Linked DNA regions of Arabidopsis thaliana. The protein of the gene in region 2 purifies or fractionates together with the protein of the main gene of each other region. This does not show direct contact. Each region holds a gene or a part of one and is shown on either strand. Other genes may lie near its edges.

The links. The genes of interacting proteins can lie anywhere in the genome.
Region 1: the proteins of AT1G79210 (region 2) and AT5G26360 fractionate together in Arabidopsis thaliana (co-fractionation; one large-scale study listed by BioGRID). This does not show direct contact.

What each region holds. Positions count from the first base shown.
Region 1 is NC_003076.8:9,253,437-9,261,559, forward strand, and holds AT5G26360 (TCP-1/cpn60 chaperonin family protein), read right to left. Parts: upstream 5,593-8,123; 5' UTR 5,456-5,592; coding exon 5,431-5,455; intron 5,337-5,430; coding exon 5,275-5,336; intron 5,184-5,274; coding exon 5,111-5,183; intron 4,811-5,110; coding exon 4,743-4,810; intron 4,663-4,742; coding exon 4,593-4,662; intron 4,398-4,592; coding exon 4,329-4,397; intron 4,248-4,328; coding exon 4,176-4,247; intron 4,061-4,175; coding exon 3,987-4,060; intron 3,696-3,986; coding exon 3,033-3,695; intron 2,957-3,032; coding exon 2,831-2,956; intron 2,685-2,830; coding exon 2,580-2,684; intron 2,479-2,579; coding exon 2,404-2,478; intron 2,311-2,403; coding exon 2,125-2,310; 3' UTR 1,617-2,124; downstream 1-1,616. UniProt on the Arabidopsis thaliana protein: Molecular chaperone; assists the folding of proteins upon ATP hydrolysis. Known to play a role, in vitro, in the folding of actin and tubulin.
Region 2 is NC_003070.9:29,794,394-29,801,478, forward strand, and holds AT1G79210 (N-terminal nucleophile aminohydrolases (Ntn hydrolases) superfamily protein), read right to left. Parts: upstream 4,444-7,085; 5' UTR 4,263-4,443; intron 3,925-4,262; exon of another isoform or gene 3,868-3,924; 5' UTR 3,848-3,867; coding exon 3,807-3,847; intron 3,713-3,806; coding exon 3,636-3,712; intron 3,549-3,635; coding exon 3,484-3,548; intron 3,356-3,483; coding exon 3,309-3,355; intron 3,112-3,308; coding exon 3,036-3,111; intron 2,869-3,035; coding exon 2,801-2,868; intron 2,572-2,800; coding exon 2,502-2,571; intron 2,403-2,501; coding exon 2,317-2,402; intron 2,241-2,316; coding exon 2,178-2,240; intron 2,092-2,177; coding exon 2,026-2,091; intron 1,942-2,025; coding exon 1,893-1,941; 3' UTR 1,688-1,892; downstream 1-1,687. Other genes in the region: SCI1 (splicing regulatory glutamine/lysine-rich-like protein), read left to right, coding at 11-83, 256-366, 782-840, 1,082-1,318; AT1G79220 (Mitochondrial transcription termination factor family protein), read left to right, coding at 4,834-6,033; MST1 (mercaptopyruvate sulfurtransferase 1), read left to right, coding at 6,431-6,532, 6,896-7,081. UniProt on the Arabidopsis thaliana protein: The proteasome is a multicatalytic proteinase complex which is characterized by its ability to cleave peptides with Arg, Phe, Tyr, Leu, and Glu adjacent to the leaving group at neutral or slightly basic pH.

The DNA of each region.
Region 1 (8,123 bases), on a different chromosome or scaffold from region 2:
ATAAACTCTCTTTTTGCCAACCAAATGGCTTCTCCTCATCTGCCCAATTGATGAAGCCATGAGTCCCACATCTGAAAAATTTTCTACCCGGATTTTCATTTGTCCATGACTTTGTAACTGTCGTTGCCCTACCACAATTGCAAAGAGGACTCAGCTACGGCTAATTGAATTCGCATCAGACCCTGAACTTTGGCTCATCATTTTTGGAAATAAGAAGAGTTCTTGTAAAGAAGAGCTAATAGAACTAGGGTTTATAATAACAAATCGATTTGGGGGTTTTCGTTAAGGGTAACAGTGTCTTTATATTGGGCGAATAAAACACGTGGGGTTAAGTATTAACCTCAGTTAGACACACCGTTAACGAAGTTAACAGTCGTTAACCCGAGAAGCTGATTTTTCCAAACAAAAACTAAACGAAAGATTTTAAAGCGAAAAGAAATAAACCTAGGTATTGTTCGGACAAATTAAATAACCGAAGTATTAAACGGGCAAATTAAAAATATATGAGGTTTTTTTAGAGTTTTTTCCCATATAAAATGTATAAGAAAACGATAGTATATGATTAAAATAGTATTATCTACTGCTAATAAAAGAAACAATTTGAGGCTTCTCAAGTCATCCTCATCATCATTCCAAAAATCATTTTAGAGATGCCACATCATATTTTCTTTTAAATACTCTCTCTAAATGCAATGTCACCAAATTATTAAAAAAAAATTTAGAAAACAAAAAATAAATAATGTTTTAATAAATATTACTAGAAAAAATAAGTGTTGATTTTTTTACTTCAAAAACAAAAGCAAATTAAATGCTTAAAATAAAATATTATTTTTTTCTTGGATTTCAATTAAAATGGTTTAAACTAACAAAACTAAATAAAAGAAACTTAATATTTTTATAATTTATTTCTGAGATCACAAAGTCCAATTTTTCAATGACAGTTTTTATAAAATTTAGGTAATATAAATTATTAGTTGACAAAAAAGAAGGTAATGTAATTCATTATTTTAATTAAAAAATCAAAAAATCAAATTTACGTTAATTACAAATAACTAATTTTGAAAATATTAACGAATCTTTATACATAATAAGAACTATTAACTTTTTTTATTTAATAAATGATTAGTATATATGCAGAATTGAACAATATGCTACCAATCTAATAATACAAAATTAGCTTTTACAAATAAATTTTACAAATTATCCACCCATTGAGTTTAATACGTTTACTATACATAATTCCAACTAATGAACTAAACCCAACAAAAGAAAATCCAATAATTATTCAAAACAAAACCTCAAAGAAATGAAAAAATAAAAAAGTCTTGTGAAAACAAACCCATTTATTTTGAGTTAAGAAAAACTATTTATATTACAATCATCTTTAATAAAATAAAATAAAAATAAAAGGTGATTCAGTTTCATTTTAAATAACACAAATAGATAGTATATAAAAATATAAGTAATTCAAACTAATTTTCTATTTAGATATAGCAAATTTAAAAAAAAATATATGAACTAAAAACAATACAAAAAACAGAAATAAAATTTTAAAATAAATTTGGGCGTAGCCCGTATTTCCTCTAGTTTACTGTAAAATTAGATCAAGATCAACATAACTAAACTTTCAATTTTCATTTAACTAGCGAAGTTTAAAGGTTTTCAGTAACAAAACCAACCCGTATAAATAAATTCGGACCGAGTCAACCTGAATAATAACCCAAAACTCTAAATAACAGATCCGTACGTCTGAAATGCAATTAATGGTGTTCAAACAAAAACACAATTTGACACTAACCGGTCAACTAAAGATCCAGTTGAAGTACATACTTGATGATATTCAAACAAAAACGACACAAACTAAAAAAGTCTCTAGTGCCAGAAATTTCAAAAAGACAATAACAACTAGCACTCTAAAAACCAACAAAGTGACTACGAAAATTCAAAAAAGCTAATATTCCAAAACAAACAAAAAAAAACCACCCTCGAAAATCTTATCTCACCAAGTCAAACTGCAGAATTAAAAGATATGTCAAGGGAAGATAATAGCCAAAAGAGTGCAACCATTAAACAAGTGAAAACAGAGATTGAGTTATGCTGAGACCAAAGTGTTTCTCCCTTCGCTTAGTCGGGAAGAATTTGTTCGTTGTCTGCATCTCCTTCTGTCTCAATGGTAGGCTTTGAAGGTCCAGATCCAGGAGCTTGCTTCTTCTTGATTCCACTCACTATATCATCGATCCTTAGAAGCATACACGCTGCTTCTATAGCCGTCTTGAAAGTTTGCGCCTTCACATTGTACGAATCCCATATCTGGAAAATTGTTAAAAGCTTTTAGTCAACTCTCTGAGTCACATTGGTTTCATGTTGTGAGAATCAACCAAGGTTATGTGATTTAATCCTTACCTTGCTCTCTTTCATATCAGCTATTGCACCAGTGTTCCCGTCAATACCAGTCCATGCGTTTTCACCATTTGCATGCTGCACCAAAACCGACAATTGAAGCATTGAGAAAAGAGTTGGTATATACTTAAACAACGGGCAAGAGATGGCAGTTGGGGTTCATTAGTACAGGACAGTACCTTCCCTTGCAATGCAGTCATAGTACGGATCACGTTAACCCCACAGTTTTGAGCCAGGGTACGTGGAATAGCCTCGAAAGCAATGGCAGCTGCTTCATAAGGCCACTGTTTAAATAAGATTCAGACCAACAAAAGAACATTTATCAGCGACCGTGGGAACAGCATACTCGTTTTAGAGGCTCGATATAGATTTGACACAAAATCACACAACTTTAGGCAAGGAAACAAAATGTAATAAAAGCAAAACCGACCTTTTCTATGCCTTCAATTGTTGCACTCTTCTGTTTTAATGTGGCAGAAACGGTTAGCTCTGTGGCTCCTCCACCAGGAACTAGCTTTGGGTTTTTGATAATGTTTCTTGCAACAGACATGGCATCCTGTAGGGACAATGTTTCAGGCATATAAGGTTATGAATGATTAAGAAATACAGATTTGTAAATAACACCAACGAACCTGTAAATTTCTTTCCACTTCATTGATGAAATCTTTACTTGGTCCCCTTAAGAGTACAGTACAGGCTTTGGGTTCTTTGCAATCAACAATGAAAGAAAAGAAATCATCTCCAATTTTCTTGACCTCAAACAAGCCAGCCCCAGTACCGATATCAGACTCCTGCAGTTCGTCGGGCCTGTTCACAATTACTGCTCCACAAGCCTTGGCGATTCTGTTGTTGTCAGTTTTTCTCAACCTTCGGATTGCACTTACCCCAGCTTTACTGAAATAGTGACAGGCCAAGTCACTAAGACCCTTCTCTGTGATAACCAAATCAGGCTTGAACTTTAGTATTTGAACGCAAATGTTCTCGATATATTCCTCTTCCAACTTCAACAACACTTCCCAGTCCTCTTCTCTAACCAACTCAGCATTGGTTTGATTTTCACCTTTCTTGTACTCAAGAGGACAGTCAAGAAGAATAATCCGTGGGTTGACAATCTTTCTTTTCATTTTACCAGGAGCAACAACATCTTTGTTAAACATAACTCCTTTAAGAACCTCAGAGTCCTCGAACTGACCACCAGGAACTTTCTCAACCTTGATGTACTTTTTAATGTCTACCTCCCTCAAACCTTGTCCAAGATCAACACCAACAGTAGTAGTGGCATCAATAGCCAAATCCTAAAACAGTACATAAAGTCATATAAAATCATGTGAGTACCAACGACAATCAAACTTGTAGAACTTCATACTACAAGTATTTCAACAATCGAAAACCACCAAAAGAATTGAAGAAAGCAGTCATCAAATTCAAGTTATTTCATGGTTACTCATCTTACATTTAAAAAGTCACTTCAAGATGTATGCTGTATCTATACCTACTTGTCTAGACATATCCAATATATATTAAGGAGCAATAAAACCTGGACTGGTAATGCATAAGTAAGAAGCTACTGTAATTACGGTACTTACCGCAATAAGATCTCCAAATTGGCTAGTGAACTTTGTCCCTATGCAGCTCTTGACTAATCCTAGCACTTGTGAACCTGCAACTCACACATTCTTCCATCAGTACAAACGTGAAAGAAAAACTAACTTCAGAAACCAAAGTAGCTGAAGGTCAACTCCAAATGAACAAATACAAGGTAGAAATGGACTTACGGTCATTGATATCAATTGACATAGCAATTTTGTCAAGAACAGCAATAGAATCTTCGAGAGCCTTGATGTAAGCTGCAGAGAAGAATGCATTCGTTAAGATGAAAACGACATGTGTAACATGACAACAATAAGCAATTCATAGTGCCAGCATACCTCGGCATATGACTGTGGGATGGTAATTCTTCTCAAGAAACGCTTCTGCAACGTGAAGCATTTCACCAGCTGTTGGCAAAAAGCAAACAAAAAGAGGACTTCAAGAACCCATGATTATAAACAGAGATCATGATGTTGAACTGAATACTGCAGCACCCATAATATCCTTAAGTAATTTGTTTGTGCTTTAGTTAAAAATACATTAAAACTGGTCCAAACCAAGCCATTGACAAACTATTTGTTAGCAAAAAAGAATGTTCGTACCTAGAACAATAACAGACGTTGTCCCATCACCAACTTCTTCATCTTGCGTACGGCTCAACTCAATCATTGACTGCAATCACCAGAGTCAAAAATGGATAAGTAAAACAATTTTAACAAGAACAATAGATAGAGAAAGGTCAGAAGTAAAACCTTAGCTGCAGGATGAGCGACATCTAGCTCACGAAGAATAGCATTCCCATCATTAGTAACAACAATCCCTGTAAAGATCCAAGAAACAAAGAGGGGTAAGATATGATGATAACACACAGATTAAGAAAAATTAAAGGTAGACAGAAAAAAAAAAAAAACAAGACAAACAGAACCCAAATATTGATTTAGGGTTTATATAAAACTAACACCGAAACTGAAGAACAATAGCTTCAACAAAGAACGAGTACATAAGAAAAACATTTCCAAAGCTAAAAACACTAAACCTAATTCCCTCACTACAGAGATCTACTACCCACATACAGAGATATGAAAAGCCTAAAAAAAAGAGGAAGTGTTTAGAAAAAGACCTCCACCAGCATCAAGAAGCATCTTCAACATAGAACGAGGACCCAATGTTGTACGAATGATATCAGCAACAGCCTGTACCACAAAAACAACGATGATCTGAAACCAGAGGAGAGAAGCAACAAGCATCACAGAGAAAAAGAGCCATAGAAAAGGATTAATTTACCTTGGAAGCTTGGATATTACCATGATGAACCTTACTTCCAGATTCACGCTTCAACGAATCGCCTAAACCATTTTCACAAAAGGAGTTAATCTCGTTACCAAAAAACTAATATCGATTTAGAGGAAATGAGATCTGGAGGAAGATGGAGATACTCACTCAGAACGAGTACCGGTGCGTGCATATTTGCGATCTGAGGTTTTCACAGTGAAGAAGAAGCTTAGAGAGACACGGCGAGTGATTTTCAAAGAGCGGCAAGTGGAAGATCCTACTGCCTTCTCCGATTTCTTTCATCCTCTCTCGTGCTTTTCATTTTAGGTTGAGAAGCCCATCCCTAAGGCCCATTAACTAATATTTCACACATTGGGCCTTTTTGTAAGATCAAAACAAAGTAATAGTATTTTTATATCCGGAAGATTAGGTAAAGATGCGTGAGAACGGGAGAATTGTTAACCTAATTTGTTAAGAGGGAAAAAATACAAAAAATACTTCATTTATTTTTAATTTGTCCGTTTAATACATGCGTTATTTAATTTACCTGTTTAATATTTAAGTTAATTTTTATGTTTATTGAAAACCTTTTTTTTTTTTTTAATTTTAGCAAAATCAGACATCCGAGTTAACGGGCGTTAACAGTGGTAACGAAATCGCTAACTGTAGTTAAAACTTAACCATATAATGTTTACTATTTATATACAATTTGTTTTCTAATAATTATGAACATATTATTTTAGTCGAGTGGTTATGAGAGAGATTACCATCATCATCGATTCAAAATCGATTATCATCTCCAAAATTTTTTTTGATTTTTTTTCTTTTTTTTTTAACAAAAAGGCAAAATCGAAGTCAGCCATCTCTTTCACTTCAACAGGCTTTGCACTTGTGTGTTGCTTCACTTCTTTCTCCAAAGGATATTGCACCAAAATCAATCACCAACCAAAAGTCCCAAATGTTAGACCAATTAATACAACATAGATTTGTGATAATCGATCTTATTTGTTATCAACAGATGCAATTAATGGTAACATAATCTTTCTATAAGCTATCAACGTTACTAACAATGAAAAACAAAGTCTGGATTTTTCAACGCAAAATATCAGCAAAAACTGGGAATATGCAATCTTTGCTGACTTATTCATATCAATCGATCTAGAAATTGAAAACCTTAATATGAATTGAAGAGATGAAGGAATCTAATTTAGCTCGTTCTCAAAATCGAATTGAAGCAGATCTAACAAACGTGGTGCTAAACAAAAGAAAGTCTCAGAATCAAATTCAAAATCGTAACTCGGATTACTGAGATTTTGCCTTTTGTTAAAAAAAAAAATCAAAAAATTTGTTGGAGATGAGAATCGATCTCGAACTGATGAGGATGATAATCTCTCTCAAAACCACTGGGACTAAGATAATATGATCATAACTATTAGAAAACAAATTGTATATAAATAGTAAACATTATATGGTTAAGTTTTAACTGCGGTTAGCGATTCCGTTACCATTGTTAACGCCCGTTAACTCGCATGTCTGATTTTGCCAAAATTTAAAAAAATGAAGGTTTTTAATGAACATAAAAATTAACTTAGGTATTAAACGGCCAAATTAAATAACGCAGGTATGAACAAATTAAAAATAAATGGAGTTTTTTTTGGTTTTTTTCCTCTGTTAATAGTATAATCTCCCTCGACCTAATCCATCTCCCGTCAGAAAGTTGTTCCAAACTCTTCAGTGTTATCATCTTTTCCTTTTAAGATTATTTTTGTCAAGTCTACTTCTTATAACAAGAGTAAGTGCTTTCCCTCCTGTTTTAGGTTTTTGTAATTTGGTTCGCTAATTTATTTGATTTCTCATTTGTGTTTGTTTCGTTTCCCTGAATTTTTCTTCCTTTGATTTTTCAGATTACAGACTTTGAGACTCTTAGTTTTTACTAAGACACAGTGTGATCAAAGAAATAGGCCCATCTTTGTTTTATAGAATTCTTTGTAATCAGGTTGTGTTGAACCTTGTTATGTAGGCTATAGTTTTTGCTTTGAAAGCCATGTATGACTCTGAACTATTACTCAATTTTTTAAAGTAATGTGGGATTTTTTCTACTTATTTTTTTTCTTCATCGATTGAGTAGTATATGTGTGTTTTTAAAATTTTGAATTACCTCATATGCAGAAAAAACTAATATATTTTTAACTATATGTATTATATATATCAAATAAAAATAAATTAGATATAAGAACAAATAAAAATGAAAGAAAAATCATATATTTATTATTAATGTAGATATATAGATTTTAGGAAATTAGCAATTAATTGAATGTAATTTAATAAATATAAAAATTAATTAAAGATTTAAATTTAAAATAAAATATTTTTAGATAAATTTTGTAGGGACTAAAAAAGAAATAAAGAAAATAGTTAATTCAAGTATTTAATGCAAATTAACGATTTGTAAATTTTTAAGAATATAACATTTTGGTTGAGATAGAATTTATAAAAACTCATATGTTATTAGTAAATATTAGAGAGATTTTTGATCAAAAAGTGCATCAAAAATATATATATAAATACTTTTATTTTAATTTCAAAAGAAAAACATTACCTAATACGTATCTTATTCCTAGGACATTTATGATTGATCTATCTTTACGTATTTTTTACGAAAAGAATGGTTTAAGATTGAAGAAGAGTTAAATATTTTTATTTATTCTTTCAAAAATATTAAATAATCAATAAAAATCATATTTAGAAGATATTTTATGGACATGTGATTTTGGCAATTTCCCCATAGGAAAAAGCGAAACTCTCTATAATTGATTGTTACTGGCTTTGATACTTTGAAGACTGAACACAAACAAAAAAAT
Region 2 (7,085 bases):
TCGGGAAATAATGGTAAGCGAACGGAGCTCCAAGGAGAAGAAGAGAAGCAGAGCTCGGAGCGAAGATTCTTCATCTTCCGATTGTATGTTCTTCTTCTTCTTCTCCTCTATGTATATACTTTTTCTTCCGATTCCCGAGAAATGCCATCAATTTATCTATCTGTGTTTTCGATTAGATTTTGTAGTTGGCGTTGAGAGTGTGACTTATTGTTGTGAATGACATAATCTGATACATAGTGATTTATGAATTGACAGACGAAGAGAAAGTTAAGAGGCATCGAGGAACAGAGAAAGATGATGAAAGGAGAAGTAGGAGAAGTGATAAGAAGGATAAGAAATCTCACAAGCACCACAAATCCAGTACATGTAAGATACTGTTTCTCATGTTTTGAGTTAGTAAATATTGTTCCATCCGTTTTAGAACCTTGATTATATGTTGAGTCAAGTTAAGTTTGTCGTATGATAAATTTGATGTGTTTGCTTCTTCATCTAGAGAGTGGTGTGTTTATAGTTATACCCATGTGAGCTGGAGTTTTCTTGTTCTTGTATGCCATTAACGGAGCATCAATTTAGCTTTGTCTTACCTATATTCTCCTAGAGAAGGAAGAGGTTGTAGTCGGAACCTGTTGGTTTGAGGGATTATAGGCAGCAAGAAATATCTTGTTTTGGTTACAGCTAAAGCAGCTATGTTTATCTTTCATCAGCATGACTTATATCATGTGTCTTTGCTTTTCAGTATGATCTGTTTTTCTTGCTGCTGACATTTTTTTTTCTCTTACAGCAAAGAAGTCCAAGGATGATAAGCCGAAAAAGAAACATACGGAAAGCGACCACAAGCTAGTGAGCTCTAACTTACCCTTTGAAATAGTTACCCATAAAAACATCTATTTGTATATTCACTTAAAAAGTCAAAAGTATATTGCTTTGGAGACTTTGTATGTGTGGTTCTTCGCTGGTCTCTTCAGTTGTTTAGTCATGGTTTAATTACAAAAGTCTTGTTGCCCTATTGTAATGTTTGACGGATTGTCATCCACACTGAGGTTCTGATTAAAATGCTTTTCTTTTCCGTTTTTTCTTCCAGAAAGAGGGAATTCCAGAGCTATCAATGGAAGACTACTTCTCGAAAAACAACGAGTTTGCTACATGGCTGAAAGAAGAAAAACGTACTTACTTTAATGATCTCACGACCGAAGCTGCACGAGGACTGTTCTCACGATTTGTCAAGAGATGGAACAGAGGAAAACTCGAGTCTCGATACTACGAGGGAATCTCCACTGCCCCACGAACAGCTCACGACTGGATGATCAAGCGTAGGTGAAAAAAAGCAAAAGCAATACCTTCCTCTTCTGTGGTTCGCCGGTTACCTCTCTTCTTGCTTCTTGTACACGTGAAGGTTGATTGCATCAGAGATATATTTCTATGTAGTTTCTCTACTTAGAACTTCTTGTTGCTGAACTAGTTAGATAGATTGTCGTGGAGAGATATGTAGTCGGTTTTCAGAGTAAGACAAACTTTACATATCCAAGGTCTTAACCAAAGTTGCCGAAGAACTATCTGATGAATCCTTATGTAACATTGAGAATTTGATATCCGGTTAAGGGAGAAATAGACCGTTTTGATTGAAAGTTGGTCTTGTACAGTATGTAAGTTCCTACTGGCATTTACAACACAGCGTATATGTAGCTTTGGCTAAGTAATTTGTGTGCATGAAACTTGGTTATATGAAACTGAATTTTCACAACAGACGTTTAAATGAGTGAAAAAACATATTCTAAATTATTGGGTCACGAGTCTCCTTAACAAATTCCAAAAGTTTTACAAAAGCAAGAACCATCAACTCTGAGAGTATACTGAGATTCAAATCAGGTTGGTTGCACGGTTAAGTGAAAGTTTTACTCGACTTCAGCCAAGTAATCATCGATTTCTGCTGGTGTTAGCACCCTGCATATAACATTCACTTTTCAGATATTGATGGGAATAACAAGATTTTTTGTTTATATTAGTTTTGTAGTCTTGAATGTTTACCTGAAAACTTTGTCAGTACCGATTTTGCCAATCTCGATGTTTTTGCTTGAGATTTCTCCCTCGAAACTGTGAAAAGACACGGAGGTTATAGGCTTTTGAGAAATTCTGAACTCTGGAAATAAAGTAAATTAAGTTTTGGTAAAAATGCTCACCCTTCCTTCAATGTCAATATTGCCGTGTGAATGGCATCATCAAGTTCCATATCTTCTGTGTACCTGATCAAAGACTAAGATGAAATGACATGCTTCCAAGATCATAAACTCATCACCACAAATGGTAAATTATTATCACCTCTTCTCAAGAAACGTCTTTGCATTCGAAACATTCTTTCCCATTGCAGAAGCTTTCCATGAGAAATAAGAGCCAGATGGATCCACCTAGTGGCCAATGAAAATTATGAAATAAGATGTTTTCAGTTTACGGGTTTTACTTCACTTTGAGCAGGATGGTTATATTTTCTTTAAAGTTCTACTTACTTGATACAGTTGTGGACCCTTGTCATCATACCCAGCCACCAGTAGAGAAACTCCAAACGGCCTAACACCACTATTAACAGCAGAAGGAGACAGAGATTAGAAGCAAGATTCAGTAGTCTAGTTTGCAAATACAGATTTGCATTAACAACATTATCTCACGCCAAATCAATATCAAAACTGAGCTAAAAAGTGCATAGAGAGACTCGCTCTAGAGTTGCAATCTCTGAGCCAATAACACTTTTGAACCCTGTTGAGCATATGAGAGGAAGTAATTACATAACACTCGATATAGTACTTACCCCGATTGAGTGAACTCTTGCATCACCGTGGCAGTTTCCCTTACAAGTTGAGTAACGGGGATGGGTTCCTGCAACAATAAACGCCCTTAGAAGTTGAATCAACAGAGCGATCTGGATTTATGAATAAGCAAGAACTTATATCAACTGGAATCATCAATCCAAAGTTTTTATCATACATGTACTACTAGACACTCCAGGAAAAGAAGACAAAAAAACAGAAGATATTAAAGATTACCTTGTACAGACGGAGATATTGCTCAGCCTGCTTCCTACTCTTTCGCACAAGAACTCGGAAATCAGGACCCATACCACTACATAAAAGGCAATACCAAAGTTAGCACTGAAATCATTAGGGTACTAAGGGAAAGGTTCCATCAGTAGCACTAGCACCTGATGAGAGAGACTAAGTACCCAAAACAAAATAAAAAATGTATGATAAATCCAATTTGCAAGCTATAAAACCAAATTCGCTATTAAAAAAGAAGTATGGATAGCTGAAGAGAAGAACCTGTAAACAGTTCCAATGTTGGGAGTCAAATGTTGAATCTTTTGAACCTGAAACAGACAATAGATAAACATTAGTTTCGTAGGAGTTACTGAAACTATGCAACCGAAAGGAAAGTAACACGAGCAGGCACAGAATGAAAAAGAACTAATTGCTATAAAGAGTTGATCAAACTTACAGACGCTTCATCAACCAATATAGAAGGAAGTTTCTTTTCAGTTGCAATGACAACTCCATTTGAAGCTGCATAAAGAAAACAACAGTCATGATTACCAAAGACAATGTTCCTTAAAAATCTCCTCTCGAATTTGATTAGATCATTGAAAAAACCTTTAATTCCAAGTGATGTTTGGCCTGATCCAACAGCTGTTAGGGCATGTTCTATCTGAACCAGCTTCCCTGATGGGCTGTTTCATAAACCACAACATGAATCAAACCCCGAAGAAACCGTTCCAAATGCTCAGAAAGAGATAACATTGATATGATAAACAAAGTTAATACCTGAAGGTGGTGAGAGAAAACGAGTACTGACTGTCCCCCATTGAAAACCAACTAAATCAAGCTGCAAAAAATGCGAAATAGTGTCATCTCTGGAAATTTAGAAACGTGGAAGCTAAATCTGTTCTTCATCAACAATGTTCAAACTTAAATGAAAAGAAACCACGTCTGAGCAAGTAAGTAGACTGAAGCGTTCAAATCTGACAAAGCTTAAAAACCCGGAAGAGTCTCATCGCCATGGGCAATGTGTAAGGAAAACGATGAAAAAGACAAGATATACCAACCCTAATTAAGAATTGTGAGTGAATCAAATCAAACACAAACTCAAACTCAAAGATCAGCTCTTAGCTCAAACTCAGAGACGAAAATTGAAAACTTTTCTTAAACCCCAAATTCAATATATTTAAAGTTATCAATTTAAATTCAACAAAAGAAACCCATTCAATCAAAGCAACATACCTTTGATATATGGATCGAACGGAATGGTCGCAAGAGAAGAGAGAGAGAAGAGACCCAAGTGAAGAATTTTTAAGCTCTCAAGGTTTCTTGCACAAAGGGTGAGAGTCTGACGCCAGAAAACGAGAGAAACAAAAAAACCAAAACGGCGGCGTTTTAACAACTTCACAGTTACTGTATCTTACATAATAGTCCAATATTTTATATCTCTTTTCAGTTTGAACCACATTATTTATTTACTACCCCTAGTCCCCTACTCTCTCTCGCTTCCACGCCCGACTCGGACTCAAACCTGGTCCGAATTGGCTGTGTCTCTCTCCATCGCCTCCTTCTTCTCTGACAAACTCTCCTCCGTTGGTCGGAGTTTGTTTCTTCGCTCGTTCATCACAAGCTTCGTGTACTGGTAATTGTTCCATTTTTTCTAGCTATTTCGGAAAATTGGATGGAAGAAGCATCTGAAATACGCGTGTAAATGTCGCTGATTGTGTCGTTGAGGCAGAGCCATTGTTGATTCTTAGAGAAAATTTGCTCCTTTATTTCTCCAGTTTGTTAAACTCTCGATTACGCCCTTGAAATGCATTCGACCGGGAAGAGAAATTTCTTAGCTGTTATCAGATTATTGTTTACTAGTTCGAGCTTGGTCAGAAAGGCTGGTTGTAGAAATCTCATTTCTGCTACCTTTACCACCAGGTGTTCGACGTTATGCCTGAATGAATCTGAAGAATGCATTGAGGATTCTGATCTATCGTCTAGGAGAAAAAAATTTGATTATGTTGGAGAAGTTGGTGAAAAAGAGAAAGTGAGAGATATTACTAGTAGTCCTTTACAAGTTTTACGAAGATGGGGTTGTGATGATGATGAAATATCCAAGCTTTTTACTCGTAGGCCTGCTTTGCAGAGAGCCAATGTTGCTCAGTTAGAGTTTAAGTTAAGCCTTCTTAAGCCACTGGGAATCACGTCTTCAGACCTTGTGAAGATTCTTAACTGTCGTCCTAGGTTCTTTAGTTGCCGTCTTGTCCTTGATGAAAGGATCAACTACTTCATGGAGATTTTGGGGTCAAAAGAGGTGTTGCGCAGAGTCATTATCCGGAATCCGTCACTCATGTTGTATGACCTCGATGACAAGATCAAACCCGCGATAGAATACTACAAAGGGTTGGGCTTTAGCCAACAGGATCTTGTCGCAATGTTGATATCGCGACCCACGTTGATTCCAAGAACAAACTTTAACAATGAGAAGTTTGAATACATTGAGAAAACTGGAGTCACCAGAGAATCCAAGATGTTTAAATATGTTGCAGTCATCATCGGGGTCTCGAGGATGGAGACAATCGAAGAGAAAGTTAGAAACTTGGAAAAGTTTGGGTTCTCGGAAGAAGAGATTTGGCACCTGTATGGAAAATGCCCAATCCTTCTCTCTCTCTCTGTTGAGAAAGTTCAGAGAAACATGACTTTCGTCATAGCCTCGATGAAACTTCCAGCTCATTCCGTGGTTAAGCACCCTTGTTTGCTTCTCCTCAACCTCGAGTCTCGTCTAAAACCTCGTGCGGATCTCGTTAAGAGAGTCTTGGAAATGCGTCTAAAGCCATTGATAAAAGAAGTGAGCATTTTCAGAGCGGTAAGGATGAGCGAGAAACGGTTCTTGAAGGTTTATGTAATGTGTCATCCACAAGATATTGCAACCGAGCTGATGGAGTTTTACGAGAAATCCAAAAACATGAAACGTTTAGCTGAGAAATCCAAGAAATACATCCGTAAAGGATTCCCCTTTTGAATCTCTTTTTCATCTTTTGTTTCTTTGGATATGTTCATTAAAGATGTAACATTGTGTAGAATTTTCCAGCTTTATCAATGGATACTTTTGAATCGGTTCATGTTTTGGTTTAGATCAGATTAGTTAAACCGGAATAGAAAAATATCAAAACACAAAACGCGAAGAAGCACGTTTGGTGAAACGAAACGCCAAAGACGCCCTAGACGTGTCTCTCTTCCAGACCCGTTCGTGGCGGCAGTGACAAAATCCTCTTTATTGATAAAAACGTTTGCAAAGTTGCAACCTTTTTGGGTTTAGTACTTGAAGAGAATCAATCTGACAGCAAATAGTTTTGGCGTCTTTCTAACTCAACCCATCATCTCTGTTGCATTTTATCGAGAGAATATTTGAGGTGGATATGGCCTCGACCCTTTTCTCCAGAACTTTCTTGGCTGCTAGTCACCGACTGATTACTCCTTCTCTTCCGCAAAAGATCTTTAATCCAGCCACCTTTCTCAGTGTAAGTCGATATCTGATTCGCGATCTGTTCTCAATTAGCCATTCGTTTGACCACTCGTTAGCTTCTGGGTTTGAGAGTGTCTGGATTGATTTCGAGCGTTTGGATTGTTTCTATGATTTGACAGTGGTTCTACTGGGTTTTCGAGCTTTTGAAATGTTGAATAGACTATAGAGAATTGCTTAATTGTTGATGAGGTCTATGTCAATCGATGCTTTTCTTATCAAAGTTTGAAATTGGACTTATGAGTTTTGTAATCATAAATTAGGTAGTGAAGTTTTATGTGAATTGCTCAGTTTCGCCTCTCTGTATATGATTCTGACTTTTTGGTTGGTCTTCCTCTTCTTGTGTTGGTAATTGCTGAAGAGGTCACTCCACTCTCAGTTAGGCTCCGCTTCTACAGCCTATAAATCAACTACTTGGGCTCGTCGAGCTATGGCTTCTACTGGAGTTGAGACAAAAGCCGGTTACTCCACATCATCCGTATCAACCAGTGAACCTGTTGTTTCTGTTGATTGGCTTCATGCTAATCTTAGAGAGCCTGATTTGAAGGTGA